2 linked regions of the Drosophila melanogaster genome follow. The protein of the gene in region 2 interacts with the protein of the main gene of each other region in a pairwise test. Each region holds a gene or a part of one and is shown on either strand. Other genes may lie near its edges.

Region 1 (5,585 bases), on a different chromosome or scaffold from region 2:
TTTGGCTCGACTGAGTCGCTTGCTTGCTGGCTGTTCTGGGCGCCGTTGTTTTGTTTAGGCGTTATCGTTTTTGTTGCTGCCGTGTTGTTTATTGTTTATAGCATGCCCCGCTATTCGGCTATCAGCCCCCCGCGATTGTTATTAATGTTATTGCGGTTTTTGGGCGGAGCTTCACTGCCCGGTTATATAGAAGTGATTACATTAATTGAGGCCTAAATCAATTAAATGCTGTCAACGATTGCCATAAACTTAAAACTAAATATTTACAGATAGTTATTTTTTATAGGTGTTTTTTTATTGGCTCAGGAAAAGAAAGCCCATCATAGAATAATATTTAACTTATTACTGCACAATAATAATTTATGAACATACATTTAGAAACATCAATAATAAAGGTCGTTACTCAAGAAAAAATATAACCAGATTTCACCTAAAACTCATGAAACGCAATTATATATATTTTACTTATTTATACATTTATACAAACCAGTTTTCCGCATTAATAAGTTATTGAGATAATTTAATTTGAGCTATTGAACACAATTATATTTCCCTTAGATATGACCATGATAAAACTACATATATGGTGCAATTAGCAAAGCAACTGGGAATATTATCAACGGCTAGAATTGAAGAACAAAGGTATTACACGAAATCAATATAGAAATATTGCTGACCATCAAAAAATACACTCCCAGCTAATTGAGTTCGTTCCCCCATGAGGAAGCACCAATAACACCATGTAGTTCATGTAATTATAGAATATTATATCTTACTTCTCCCCTATTTCCTCCCACCAAGCCACGCAATCTTACGTGCTTGTATCAAGTTCATGGATGGCTTTAACAGAACGGAAATCGCTTTTCATTTCTATATGACAAATTTTGTTCCCAACGTAATTGCTCAATTAAAGTCAGCAAGAGTAATTGCCTACTGTTGACGCCGCTTTGAATTTATTTGTCGGTTAATTTATTGAGATCACATCATCTCTACCAGGCTTGAGTCCATTTTTATTGTTTAAACTGATGCCAAGCGGTTCGGATTTATGATCTATTGTTTCCAAATGTACTAAGCACACCGCAGTGCTAACGTGTCTCTGTGTTTCATTTTGTCGAAAAAAAAAATATTATGTAATCAGCAAGTGGTTCCGTTCAGTGCAACTTGCATAGGCCCATAAATAACTTGAAGGACATTAAGCACTTCTGATGATAGGGCGACTCTGTTTATTTTCGATTGAGAAGGCAAAAACTACATAATGATATCGGTTCTTGAGCACTATATATACCCTTTTTTTTATTTTAACGCAACTATATGCATTACAGCTAACAGGCTTAATTCGTTGCTTTTATGTGATAGTTTTTTTTTAAAGCAGCTAAAATACATATTTTTATACATGTTACTCATATAATAAAAGGGTATTTGAGATTCGATCTGGCCATGACCGTCTATCCGACCGCCGTCGATCCGGCTGTATGTCCGTCCGTATGAACGTCAGGATATCAGGAAGTAGATATTTGGTATCCAAATTCCAAATACATAGACAAGAGATGTTGCCACGCCCAATTTTTTGATTTTTTGAGAGATCTCTGATATCGAAACGGTTACATATAAAGACAGACGGTCATGGCCGGATCGACTATTGATCCTGATCAGACTATATATACATACTTTTTAACGAACCTAGTATACCCATTTACTCTACATGTAACGGCTCTAAAAATGCATAAATTTGAAAAAGTATAGAATAAAGGTAAGTAGTATACAACAATATAAAACAATCGGAGTAGTACGTATCCAATTTTGACAGTGATCTACAACGTTTAAAAATGGTACCAAGCACTTGGAAATGCTTTTTGAGCGACCTTTTGCGGAAGCCTTAATTCCCAGATGTTCTAAAGTAAAAGGTGTATTCAAAGCTGTTTTCCCGATAAACTACCAGGTTTTTTCAAAAGTGTCAAAACTAAACTTTCTTAAAACGAGGTGATTTATGAAAAAAGGGGTAATTTAGGATAAATCATTCTGATTCACACAAACAAACCGACCAAACATTTACTAAAAAAAATTTTCCTAAAACCTAGTGTTTAGTATTAAGACACTAGAATAATGTTCTAATGTCTTTGGTAATACTCTTACATGGATTTTATTAAAACCGTGTTTACAGATAGAATTTTGTAATATATTTCGTACGTCAACACTAGCCCAGAATCGTATTCTAGGCTTTTCAAAGGCTTGTTTTACAATTCCTTTAGTTTTTGTGTTCTATTGGTATATATCTATTGGTACTCGCTATAATCGGCAGCAGACTTTTATTATCGTGTATATATGAAAGTATGTTATTATCCTTCGCAGACGCTACTGGTACGCTTCGTCACTACGTGGACTACCTGACGTCCAAAGTGATGAATGTGGTCAATATTTGATAGCTTATGCGTATATGTGTAACTGTATTAGGTAAATATGATTGCTATAATTACCAATACGATATTGCCAAATGCGGTTGCCTGTTGTTACTGTTAATGATACATTAATGTAATTTGATTAAATTCGTTACTCGTAGACAAAGGGGTATATCAAGTAATAGGTATCAATTATATGTGTACATATATAGGATCAATATCCGAGTGAACTCGGGAACTATAATGGCTAGAAATGGGAAATCAAGCATGCAGATTCTACAGGCGCTGAAGCACAAGTTTTCTTTAGTAGATTGCTAGACACCGGCCACAATCACCGCCAAGTAGCCAAGAGTTGGCTACGATTGTAGCAATAAACCAACAACATGTATTCCACGCTTACCAACGGCCACAATTTTTTTACCTCAATTTTGAAAAATATTTTGAATTTCTTTTTAACTGTACTTTTTTTCTTGCCCATTTTTTTTATCGAATTACCGTCCATTTAATGCGCCATACATATATCTTAGCGAACATTCAAAATATGGACAACTTATGTCTGACAAGTTTTAATTGATGGTCCAAACTATATATAATTTTGATATACAAATAAATGTGAGCTGCGGCTGACTTCACTCTGGTCGCTTCTCCGCATTCTTCTTGGTGAACTCTTCGGCCGTCTTCATGAACTTCTTGTGCTCCCTTACGAACTCCTCGGCCAGGTCAGAACGAAGCGGATGTTCTGGCTCCGGGTTGTGGACGATGGCTACCAGGGCCTGGAGCACCTGCTCTGTGCGCGTTGTGGGCTTCCAGTTGTCTGTGCTGATGATGGGCAGGCACACCTCCCCCTTCTCATCCACGTTGGGGTGATAGATTTTCGTCTTGAATAGGATCTTTGGTGGCATAAAGGGATACTGGGGCGGGAAGTTGATTTCGATGCGGAAGGCGCCCTTGTTGTAGGGCGCCTTTTCCGGAACCAAAAGACCCGTCCACATCAGCAGGGACTCATCGCTACTCTCGATGTTGCGCAGAGTGCTCATCTTGGCCTCAACCAGATCGGAGAGTTCCCGTGTCAGACGACGAGTGGCAGCCATTCTATCAACGGGATCAGAGTTCCTTTCCTTTGTTTTCCCTAGATCTCGGAAAAAAACTTGTTAATTTAAAAAAGTCTAAAAATTTAATTTTCCTATTGCTATTGACAGTAAAGTCAAAAGGGCATGTCGAACATTGTTTTTATATTCAAACTTATTAAGAAGTTATCAAGCATTTAAATAAATGGCGTAAACTGAGGTAAATATAGAGATAAATAGAAATATATATTTTTAAATCTCACCTAAACTAGGATTTCTCATCCACATGCAATCATTGGGCAAACTAGTTATAAAGCAAAACAATCCAATTGCAGAATATATTTTATAAAGCATTTTGACCTATTTACAGTTTCTAGAGACTTCTTTGTTAGGCTGTACAGAACAGTAAGTTAAATTTAAAACAATAAATCTTTGTTGTCGTCATAGAGGCTCTCCCAGACCTTCAATTTGGGCCACTCAGGCAGATCGATGAACTTCAGGTCATCACTGATGTTGAGGCACTTGATGACCTCGTCGGATTTGCGAACTGGATCAATGGTCAGAGTGTCCATACCGTTGATCTTCTCGCTGTAGGGATTACCCGTGGCAGCAAACTGGGTCCAGATGCCCACGGTTCGTTCGATGTTCCTGTACTCGCGACTTTCCTTCGGCAACCGGCGAGCCAGCAGGCTGCTGAATTGGTAGCTCAAATCGTCGGCATGGCTGACCCCCTTGACACCGCGTCCCAACCGCATAATGCGGTACGGAAAAATGAGCTCCTCGGAGTCGAAGTCATATCGATAGAAATATACTGGAGCTCCAGCCGCGTACGCGTGTCGGGAATGGACCACCCTCAGGGCCGGAAACACGAAGTAGTAAATCGAACAGAGCTGAAATAAATTACCAGCTTATGATTATGTAAGCACCTAATTGGACGACACTTACATCCATGTAATTATCTGGGGTGCTTTCTGAGCCAGTGCGATGAACATCTCGAATCTGTGCACTCCACGAATCCAGTTTTTCTTTACTGGGCTCCGTGGCCAGCAATTCTTTGGGAATGAAAGGTGTGCCAGCATCAAGCTGCTGCAGCACCTGCGGCATAAGCTTTACCTCTGTGAAATAAAATTAAATTTACTTATTGAAAGAAAATTCAAAAAAATTCCCAATATCTAACCTGGAACCCACAGCAGGCCCTCGTACGAAGTGTTTCCTATAAACATGGGGATGGAGTTACTCCAGGCGGTCTTCATCATCTCCTTTGGAGGCTTGGATATCACACATTCGGGCGTGGAGAATGGTTCCAGGGATGGGCCAAAGGCAAACATTATCTTGTTCATGCGTTCCTCCAGTGTCAGGACATTTTCCTCCACGCGAATAAGATCCTTGGCCTTTACGTTCTGCAAGAACTCCAGCACATCCTTGTCGTTGTCCTCGCCCTTGTAGCCAACCAGCTTGGCTATCCTGTAGGGATTATGGGTAATGTCGCCGTTGTAGGCCCAAGGACAAATGGCACTGCCCGACTGCAAGATGCCGCGATGAAAGAGCCCTTGGGTCTGATCGGTTAGCATCATGTAGTGAGTGGAGGCGCCTCCAGCACTCTCTCCAAAAACAGTGATGCAGTTGGGATCTCCGCCGAAACTAGCGCAATTGTTCTTGATCCACTTGAGGGCCAGCACCTGATCCTTGAGGCCAGCATTTCCTGGTACATTTAGCTCGGGGGACTTAAGACTCATAAATCCTGTGTAGGTACAATAATGTTTAGTCAAAATATTGCGCATACGCACACAGTAGATTACCCAAAGCCCCAAGTCGGTACTGTATCGTGACGAGAACAACATCTTCTTTCATAAAGTAATCCGGGCCATACCATTCCCGATTGGCCTCGCCGATAATGAAGCCTCCTCCGTGAATCCAAACCATAACCGGGCGAGCCTTGTCGGGCTTCACCTAAAATGTACCACAAATAAAAAATGTTTAAAGTTATTACGGTTTTAACGATGTTTTATGTACACAAGTTAATAGAATTACTCACATTGTTGGTGTACACATTGAGATAGAGGCAGTCCTCGGAGCCCTCTACCTTATCGAAGACGAACTGCACCTGGACGGCCTTATCCTT
Region 2 (8,739 bases):
CTCCTCGTCGTCCGACAGGCTGACTGCTTTGTGTGCGCGGGCGAACTGCTCGTCTGCCGCGTTTTGTTCGTAATTAAGACTCATAGTCTCTATTAATTTTCTGTTTTGCCGGATGACCAACAGTCGTTGCCTATCGAAGTTATCGGGTCAGTTAGGAATGAGTGCACGAGTGCTATCGGCACTCGATGTTATTTCGCGCGGAAAGTATTCAGAATAAGAAATATACATTTTAGATTTAAATTTATTTTTCTTCCTAATTAATTTTTTATAAACCAATATTCTCTAAACCATCCTCATTAGCTACTTTTAAGATTAAAGCTAAACAGATTTTAAAAGTTCCATCACTAGTCAAGCACTAGTTAACAGTGCTGTTAATGGAAAACATCAATCAGCTGTTGGTAACTCATGCATTTCTTAACTTTTTAAATGCGGTTGCTTGGAACTTTGAATAAATTTGTTAAATTATTGAATTATTCCCTTGCCCGGAATTTTCCAAAACGCAGCATGGCCTGCAGCAGATTCGAGTACGTTAAATCCTTTGAGCAGGACGACAGCATACTGCCTAATGTGTGGATAGTCATACGAATAGACGGCAAAAAGTTCCACAAGTTCTCCAAGACGCACGATTTTGAAAAGCCCAACGATGAAAATGGTAAGAAAAAACACTCATTATAGTTCTTAATAATCCCATTAAATATTCGCTTTAGCTCTCAATGTGATGAATGCTGCTGCCACGGCGGTGATGCAGGAGTTTCGGGATATTGTCCTCGCCTACGGTCAAAGTGATGAGTACTCCTTTGTTTTTCGCAAAGAGACGGCAGCGTTCAAGCGACGATCCGCCAAACTGCTCACCTACGTCACCAGCTTGTTCTCCTCGAGCTATGTAATGCAATGGTCCAAGTGGATGAATCTGCCATTGGCCTATGCTCCGTGTTTCGATGGTCGCGTTGTTCTGTATCCTTCGGAGCAGAATCTAAAGGACTATCTCAGCTGGCGACAGGCCGATGTGCATGTGAACAACCTGTACAATACCGCCTTTTGGAAACTCGTTTTGGAAAAAGGCCTGACGAACCAGCAAGCCGAGGCGAAACTCCGTGGCACCTTTTCGGCGGACAAAAATGAGCTGCTCTTCCAGGAATTCGGGATAAATTACAACAATCTGCCGGCAATGTACAGAAAGGGAACGATTCTGCTGAGAAAACGCGTGATATTGGGTGAGAAGAGCAGGCAGGCCGTGGTGCCGCTGCACGAGGATCTGATATCTTCGCAGTTCTGGAAGGAACACACCGAAATATTGGGAAAATATGTGCCAGGCACATACGACGCACCACAAACTTTTCCCCGATTGGTGGAGATGCAAATAAATGGCAAGGATGACAATGAGGCGGAGGAGCCACAAAATCTGGCTGGTACCAGCTGATATAATAACGAATAGTCTTGCATTTTTAAAGATTAAAGTTACGATACATCTAAGGAAGTCGTTTCGGAGATTGAGGATGCGGTGCCCAGGCTGCTGGAGTGAAGGACAAACGGATGATCCGTAATGAAGAGTAGCTAATAGTTGAAAGTTCAACTTATGGCATATATTTTAAGATTAAATCTACACTAAGCTCATAGAAAGACTATTTCCTACTAGTAGTCGTCGTCGTCATCGTCATCGTCATCCTCACTTGGCTTGCTGGCAACGGAGCCGTCTGCCAGCGGTGGTCGCTGCACCATTGCTGCCGCTTGCATGCTCATCCACTGCTGCTGCTCCTCGCGCGCCTGCTCCTCGCGTGCCTTGGCGAACAGCTCCTGCTGCTGGCGCAGCAGCTCCTCCTCCGGAATGCCCAGGTTCTCTAGGCGCGTGCTCTGGCGCCTTCGCTTGGCTGCCACCTCCTTGCAGTCGTGCAGAACGGCCTCCGCCTCTTGTTTGTAGTCGTGAAAACCCAAGCGTTCCAACGCCTCCAGGACGTGCTCTGCGTTTATCGTCTTCTTGTTGCGCATGTTGCACACCTCGTTGGCCTCCGAACTGATCAGATGAATGAACTCTGAGCAGCAGTTGAGTATCAGCTCGCGACTCTCGTTGGCCACCCGCACCGTGGGCACCAGCTCCTTGATGATCTTGTTGATGCTGGCCCGTGGCAGGGTCAGCTCGTCGTCCTCGGCGCTGGGCGGCAGTAGTTCTTCCTGCGGATTCGACATGGCGTCCTGGTTTCAAGGAACAAACAAACAAACAAACTTGGAAGCAGATGTTTTTCTCGGATTTACTAGTATAGTGTGCTAGAGTGGCCGTTTACTGCTAACAGAAAAATGTAATCGAAAAATTATTGTTTTTGTAAATAAATGAAATCATTAATTGATTGAAATGAACTATATAAAGCATATATAGCTAAAAATAAAATATATAAATGATGATATAAAATGATGTATATCATTTATGTATTCAACACAAATTTAATGGCTTAATAATCTTTGATTAATTTGATTTTGATGAATATTATAAATAATACAGCCTTTTTTTAAATGGCAGACTTTTCAAATAAAAGAATAATTTTTTTATAATTCCTACCATTATTTATATAAATAGTTTTTTTTTTTTTATTTGAAAAACCAAATGTACTGTTCTTTTTAAAACTCCACTCTTCGTTTAGTATATTTTTAAGTGTTTAGTATTTTTTTAAGTGTACTTAAGCGGCTAAGCAACGGTCACTTTGAGAAATAGAAAACAAAAAGTTGAGCTGTTTAAATTCCGGCTTATTATTAATATATTACCACAAAATGGGGGACTACGATTCCGATGATGAAAAATCACAGGTGGAGAAGCTGCGCCACGCCAAAGTGCCGCGCGGAATGTTCGTGAGCGGCTGGGACGACGATGCCGACGAACTGATCGAAGAGGACAAGAACCCACAAAGTAAGTAGAATACATTTTAGAGAAATAGTTTAATTAAACATCATCATAGGCAGCATTGAACGCATGATTCTGTGGGCGGTGAACGAGAACCGCATCAGCGAGGTGCGGGAAATCCTAAAACTGGACGCAGACACCGTGAACGCCAAGGATAACGACGGATACACGCCGCTGCACCGAGCTGCCTATAATAACTTTGTGGATATGGCCAAGTTGCTGCTGCAGTACCATGCCAATCCCAACGCCCGCACGGAGCTGGGATGGACGCCATTGCACTCCGCCTGCAAGTGGAACAATGCGGATTGCGCCCATTTGCTGCTGCAGTTTGGCGCCGATGTAAATGCGGAATCGGACGGCAAGCAGACGCCGCTTCACATAACCGCCACTGTGTCCAATTGTCGGAATACGGCCACGGTCCTTCTGCTGGACCGATACATCCAGCCGCGCAAGGAGAACAACTCCGAGGAACTGGCCTCGGTGATTGCCCGTCGTACTGGCATGAGTTTTCCCATTTTCGAGTCCGGCGAGGAAGCCTACGACTGCGAAACGGGACTGATAGATTAATCACTTAATAGTCAAACTATGCGCATACTTATAGAATAACTAATATAATATGTTTATTTCATAAATAATGTTTTCTGTCGATGGAATTGGTAGACACCACGATTTTCAGCTGGCTGGCGCTGGAGCCCTCACGAAATGCTCGTAGAATGACTTAGTGTAGTTGATCATCTCGTCCTGCATGGCGGCGGGCACAAAATACGGATTGCCCTGGCCACCCTCGATGGTTCCCCTCGCCGTGTAACGCATGTAGCTGGACACGGTAGTTTCTGGCGGCAGGACAGCCCCATCCTCAATTACACAGCAGTCTTTCAAAACACAGCGACGGCCCTGAAAGATGGTAAAAGTAAATGGATTACAAGGGTATAACAATAAGTAATAGCTTACTATGATGGCATTCTTGCCGATGTACACATAGGATCCAATGGTGGCCGCCGAGACGACTGCTCCTTCGCCAACGAAAACATGCTCACCGACGTGCATGGGAAAGAAGGCGATTCCCTTGCTGAATTGTTTGTACGGCGGTCGGATGACGGAGTTCTTGCCAATCACACAATATCTTCCCGTCCGGACATTGGCCAGATCGCCGCGAATGATGGCGCCGCTCTGTACGATCACCTTGCCGTTCAAAATAATGTTTTGGGAACCACAGAGCACCGTGTGGCGACTAACTTTGTTACCCGAAGCCTGTAAACAATCAGTTTTTTGGTCATGATGAGGTCATCTCTTAGTGCTTAAATGGAATCCCAAAGCGGAAGTCAGTGCGAATACTTGCCGTCTCTACGTATTCATCTTTGCTGTAGTAGGTATCCGGAATTTCCATGATTAATCAGCAGTTTTAAAAACTATTTTTAAGTAAAGTAAATAAAATAGTGAAACTGCACTTGCGAAAATATTTCGACCAGCTGATGTGTGTGGTCGCAGTGTATAGTTGGTAAAATACCAAATGTAACGCGTTAAGTCAAGACCTAAACCACATTAGCTTGGCGCCAAATTTGAATTCAAATTCGTTGCATTCCATTGATTTTCCATTGAAGAGCTTGGCATTACATCTAATTATTAATTAGACACACGCGAAGTTTTACAAATTACAAGCTGCCTTGGCGGGTGCATAGAAAACCCAGGTGTTTAACCCACTTTGACCCTGAACTTTTAGCCATAATTCTCAAATCACGATGCACATCTAGACAGCTGCTCTTCAGGCGCAAATCTGCTGGCAGAACGAAAAGAATGTGCATAATTGAACTCACACAGCTGTTGGCTGAAAGCGCAGTAAGCTCCGCCGCCTCCCATTGACGCACCGACCTTCCAAAACTTTTAACTTCCCGCTGTCCGACGCTCCAACGAAGTTCCAATTAATGCGCTCCTTAATAATCGCGAGACCCAGCCCATTGGCTTAACCTTCGCGGGGCACGCTCGAATGCCTCAAGCGGCGGCAGCTCTGGCAGCATTTTAATTTGTTTATGTTTTCATTACTATTTTCTTCGTTTGGCTCTCCACATTTTGCAGAAGTAAGCAAAGCTATGGATTTGCGGGCTTTTCCATATATGATTTAACTACGCTTAAAGAATGTCAATTAAACAATAAAGAAGACTATGTAAAGTTGAAAGGGTATACTAGATTCGTTAAATAATATGTAACAGGTAGAAGCAAGGGTTTCCGACTAAATAAAGTATATATATTCTTGATCAGGATCTGTCCGTTTGAACGTAGAGATCGCAGGAACTATAAAAGCTATTTGAGATAAAAGCTAGAAGGCTGAGTAAAGGGTATCTAATAGTCAGAGAACTCGACTCTCTTGTTTTTTTTTAATCATTTTCCATACATTCTTTAACAGATTTTACGAAAATATTAACTAAACATGGAGAAATAGTAACGAAATTTGTTAGCGCAGAAATCTTTTGTTATATTCAGACTTTTAAGAACAACTGCCTTTCTTAGCTACAATGAATTTCCCCACCCCACTTGACCTTCTTGGTTTGAACTATCTGAACTTTGCCATTATTGCTTTTCTATGCCAATTACTGCAAACAATTGTGCCAGTCTATTGAAGCTTTGAAGAATCCGCCAAAAGCAAAGAACACAAATCGTTTAACCTTCGGCGAGAAAAACCGCATCGGAATCTATTAATCTGTTTGGTGTTTGCACTTTTGAACTTAAGGTTAATAAACTTGAACTTGAATAATGTTTGGAAATTAATTGAGTTGTGCACACAAACAACTCTTCAATCGGTTGATCAAACAAATTATTCCAATTTGTTTCATTTCGGATTTAAAAATGGTGCCTATTGTTAAGTGTGATTTTCAGCAAGGCGAAACTGAGATGAATCGGTTATTAATTAAGTGTTTGATTAAATATACGAAGCAGCTTCAATCATTTCTCGATGCTGGTGATTAAAGCAAATCTAAACGATAAAGTGATTTAAGATATAGGGAGATATGAAATCCGAAATCAACCTAGGTACATACTTTTGTAACCTCAAGGTAATTTTCTGTAATATTTGTAACTTTCCCTGCCAGCAATTAGAAGTCCATGGCCGCGAAGGTCTTGACTTCGTCGTAGAACGTGTAGTCAAGTGTTTGCCTTACACTAGTCCAACAGCGATCGAATAAACTCTTCTGCCACATTTCGACCTTGGGCAGCCCACGAAGGAGGGCCGCGAGCTATGTGTGTGTATGTAAATATTTACAATAGCCAACTCATCCGCGACCTTGATAATTGGTTTCTGTTGTATCAAGTGGCTGTTGTTGGGAAAACTCATTATTAAATGGCCAGCTAATCAAGATCAAGAAACACGCACTCTGCCCTTCCCATCGCCACCAAAAAAAGACAATCGCTCACGATCGCATTGATCTTGATGGCTTTATGGCTATAAAATTTTTGAATTGTTTTCTCCGAGACAAAACCGGCGGCACTAGATCGCATAATTATTGAATGGAAATTACACTGAAACTAAAACAATGCCAGTGCTATCCAGTTAGATAGTCATGTCATGTTTAATTGAATAATTGCAAATGGCTTACATATATACATATGTGTATATATATATGTGATTTGGCCAAGAACAGGCGAGTTGTAATAATGCAATAATGAAGGTGAAACGACAAATGAAATTAATTGGAATTAGCAAAATTGTGAAAATACTTGTTGCATTCAATGCGCGCAAGGTAAGTTGGAGTGAAAGAGTCAGTCTGAGAATGTTGCATAATATTTTCACTTTTTTCCCCCAGCTGACCGACAAAAACAAAAAGAAAAAAAATTAAATCCCGCAAGTGAAACGAGTTTTTTGTTCAAGTCTTTTGTTTCGATCGATAACATGCATCTATTGACAACTCGCAGATAATTTCCTATGTTGGTGTGTATGCTGCACATGTGTAGTTGCATATATTCACTAAGTTTCAGATTGACAGAACAAAGGTGACTATCAGATTCTCGGAATGTGAGTAATTCAAGGATCTTTTGAGTATGCACTTTTCTGTCCATAAATGGCTACCCAATTTTGAGACTCCACCGAAAATTCTCTTAATAATTGATGTGACTAACATAATAACTAAGCACAACGAATTTCCATACTGTCCCATTTCACGCTAAAGTTGTTTTAAAGTTTCCTTCTTTAGAGACTCATATAGATATTTTATTGAAATTATAATAACATAGCTATTAAGTAAGTTTCATTTCTCAGAACGACTCCTTAAGTGTAAAGTTAAATTTTTAGAAAATGTGTTGCGTGATATATTATGGTTCTACCTTAGAACCCCATTAACCATATGCATTGGAGTGCCGCCTCCAGCTCTCCAGCGACCAAGCACTTTTTGGTTTCTATTAATTACAGTCATTACAATTCCATGTGGTGACCAAATGGCTTCCTCATGTCAAGATCCCAACGCGAAACGAGTAGCTCGCGATTAGCAACGAAGTTTTGAGAGCTCAGTTCAAAAGCCGAGTTCAAGAACTAACTAACGATTGTCTGACAATGACAGTAGCTCAACGGTTTGCGAGGGAGGGGGTATCCATAACTCTGTTGGATTTGGAGTTGGAGTTGCCAATGCTTGAGCTCAGCGCGACCAAACAAATAGCAATGAGAAATTGTGTGAATCGAGCAACAAATGAATGCGCTTTTGATGTGGCGTATATTTATAATACAAATTATGGGTACGTATATAACGAATTTCCCACCCACAGCCCCCTCTGGGATACGCTTGAATGGGCGTGGCATGCTGCAATTTGTTGCTTTTTGCCCCCAAAAAGCGACCTCAGATTGCCCAAGTTGTGCTAATTAAAACATTAACTCTGCCCCGAGGCTGAATTCGCATTAAATAACGATTGCCCGTGATTTTTTTTTTTGCTTTTTGCCGTTTTTTTTTTTACTTCTTATTTGCCAAAATCGATTATAATCAAATTTCAAGTGGCCCCCGTTCGGTACACGAAAAAATCAAAACCAGTAGAGAGTTAACTGTCAAAAAACCAACGCACGACAACGCCAGAAACAACATTGCTGACAACAGCAGCTACAGTGTGGAACATAGTTGTAAATCACATTGTTGAGTTCAGGACAGCTGATCTTTGCTGTGCTGACCAATTAAGTGCCATTTCAAGAGGCTTGAATGAACAGAATTTTGACAAGGAGTTCTTTTAATTAGGTCATATCCTTTTTTTAAAAACTATACTTTAAATATATATATGTCATGATGCATTTCTCGTAGCTTATTTGCCTTACGTTAATGCATTGTTCCAATTTTGATTGCTCTATTGGACTTCGCTTACTCTTTTTATTTTTTTCTTTTTGCATGCGGGCGCTAATAGTTTTGAACCTGACGAGAGACCTAAAAAATAAGCCAAATTCAATTTTCAGCTTTGTATGCCATGGGCAAGGCTAACCTCGAGCCACGAGCAGCGATTTAGATTCAGTCTCAGTATTTGGATCGGTCTGGATTTCGGGTATTAAACATATATAATTTGATTCAATTTGGTTTCTTGTTGTGACTCGGCTTGTTTCCACTTCCTTTTCGCCTTTCAGCGCGCTCGGTAAAATATGATATAATATAAAATGATATGATATCGGTATCGGTTTATAAGCCCTCCAACCCACTTAGCTGATAAACAGGTGATTAAGTCTCTTGTGTCTGTCAGTTGATTGAACTTTAAAGGTTTTCCAGCGACTCAGTGTCACATTCGTTTGGTTTCTCGCTGGGTGGCCCACTATTTGGTAATTGATTGACAATGATTGACAATCAAACTCCAGTTTGTATGAGCATATATTTCCATATAGGTAGCGTGCTCAATGG

Evidence for each region. Proteins that work in one complex are often made in the same cells at the same time.
Region 1: the proteins of DCTN5-p25 (region 2) and Ubc84D interact in a two-hybrid assay, tested with the Drosophila melanogaster proteins (one large-scale study listed by BioGRID).

The regions. Positions count from the first base shown.
Region 1 is NT_033777.3:7,515,872-7,521,456, forward strand, and holds Ubc84D (ubiquitin conjugating enzyme 84D), read right to left. Parts: upstream 3,586-5,585; 5' UTR 3,488-3,585; coding exon 3,026-3,487; 3' UTR 2,949-3,025; downstream 1-2,948. Other genes in the region: alpha-Est7 (alpha-Esterase-7), read right to left, coding at 3,880-4,353, 4,409-4,578, 4,641-5,204, 5,263-5,413, 5,499-5,585. UniProt on the Drosophila melanogaster protein: Catalyzes the covalent attachment of ubiquitin to other proteins.
Region 2 is NT_033779.5:15,001,363-15,010,101, reverse strand, and holds DCTN5-p25 (dynactin 5, p25 subunit), read right to left. Parts: upstream 4,370-8,739; 5' UTR 4,278-4,369; coding exon 4,230-4,277; intron 4,142-4,229; coding exon 3,842-4,141; intron 3,785-3,841; coding exon 3,563-3,784; 3' UTR 3,495-3,562; downstream 1-3,494. Other genes in the region: Rnmt (RNA guanine-7 methyltransferase), read right to left, coding at 1-84; THG (tRNA-histidine guanylyltransferase), read left to right, coding at 505-652, 708-1,420; NC2beta (negative cofactor 2beta), read right to left, coding at 1,633-2,184; Ankrd49, read left to right, coding at 2,761-2,896, 2,946-3,457.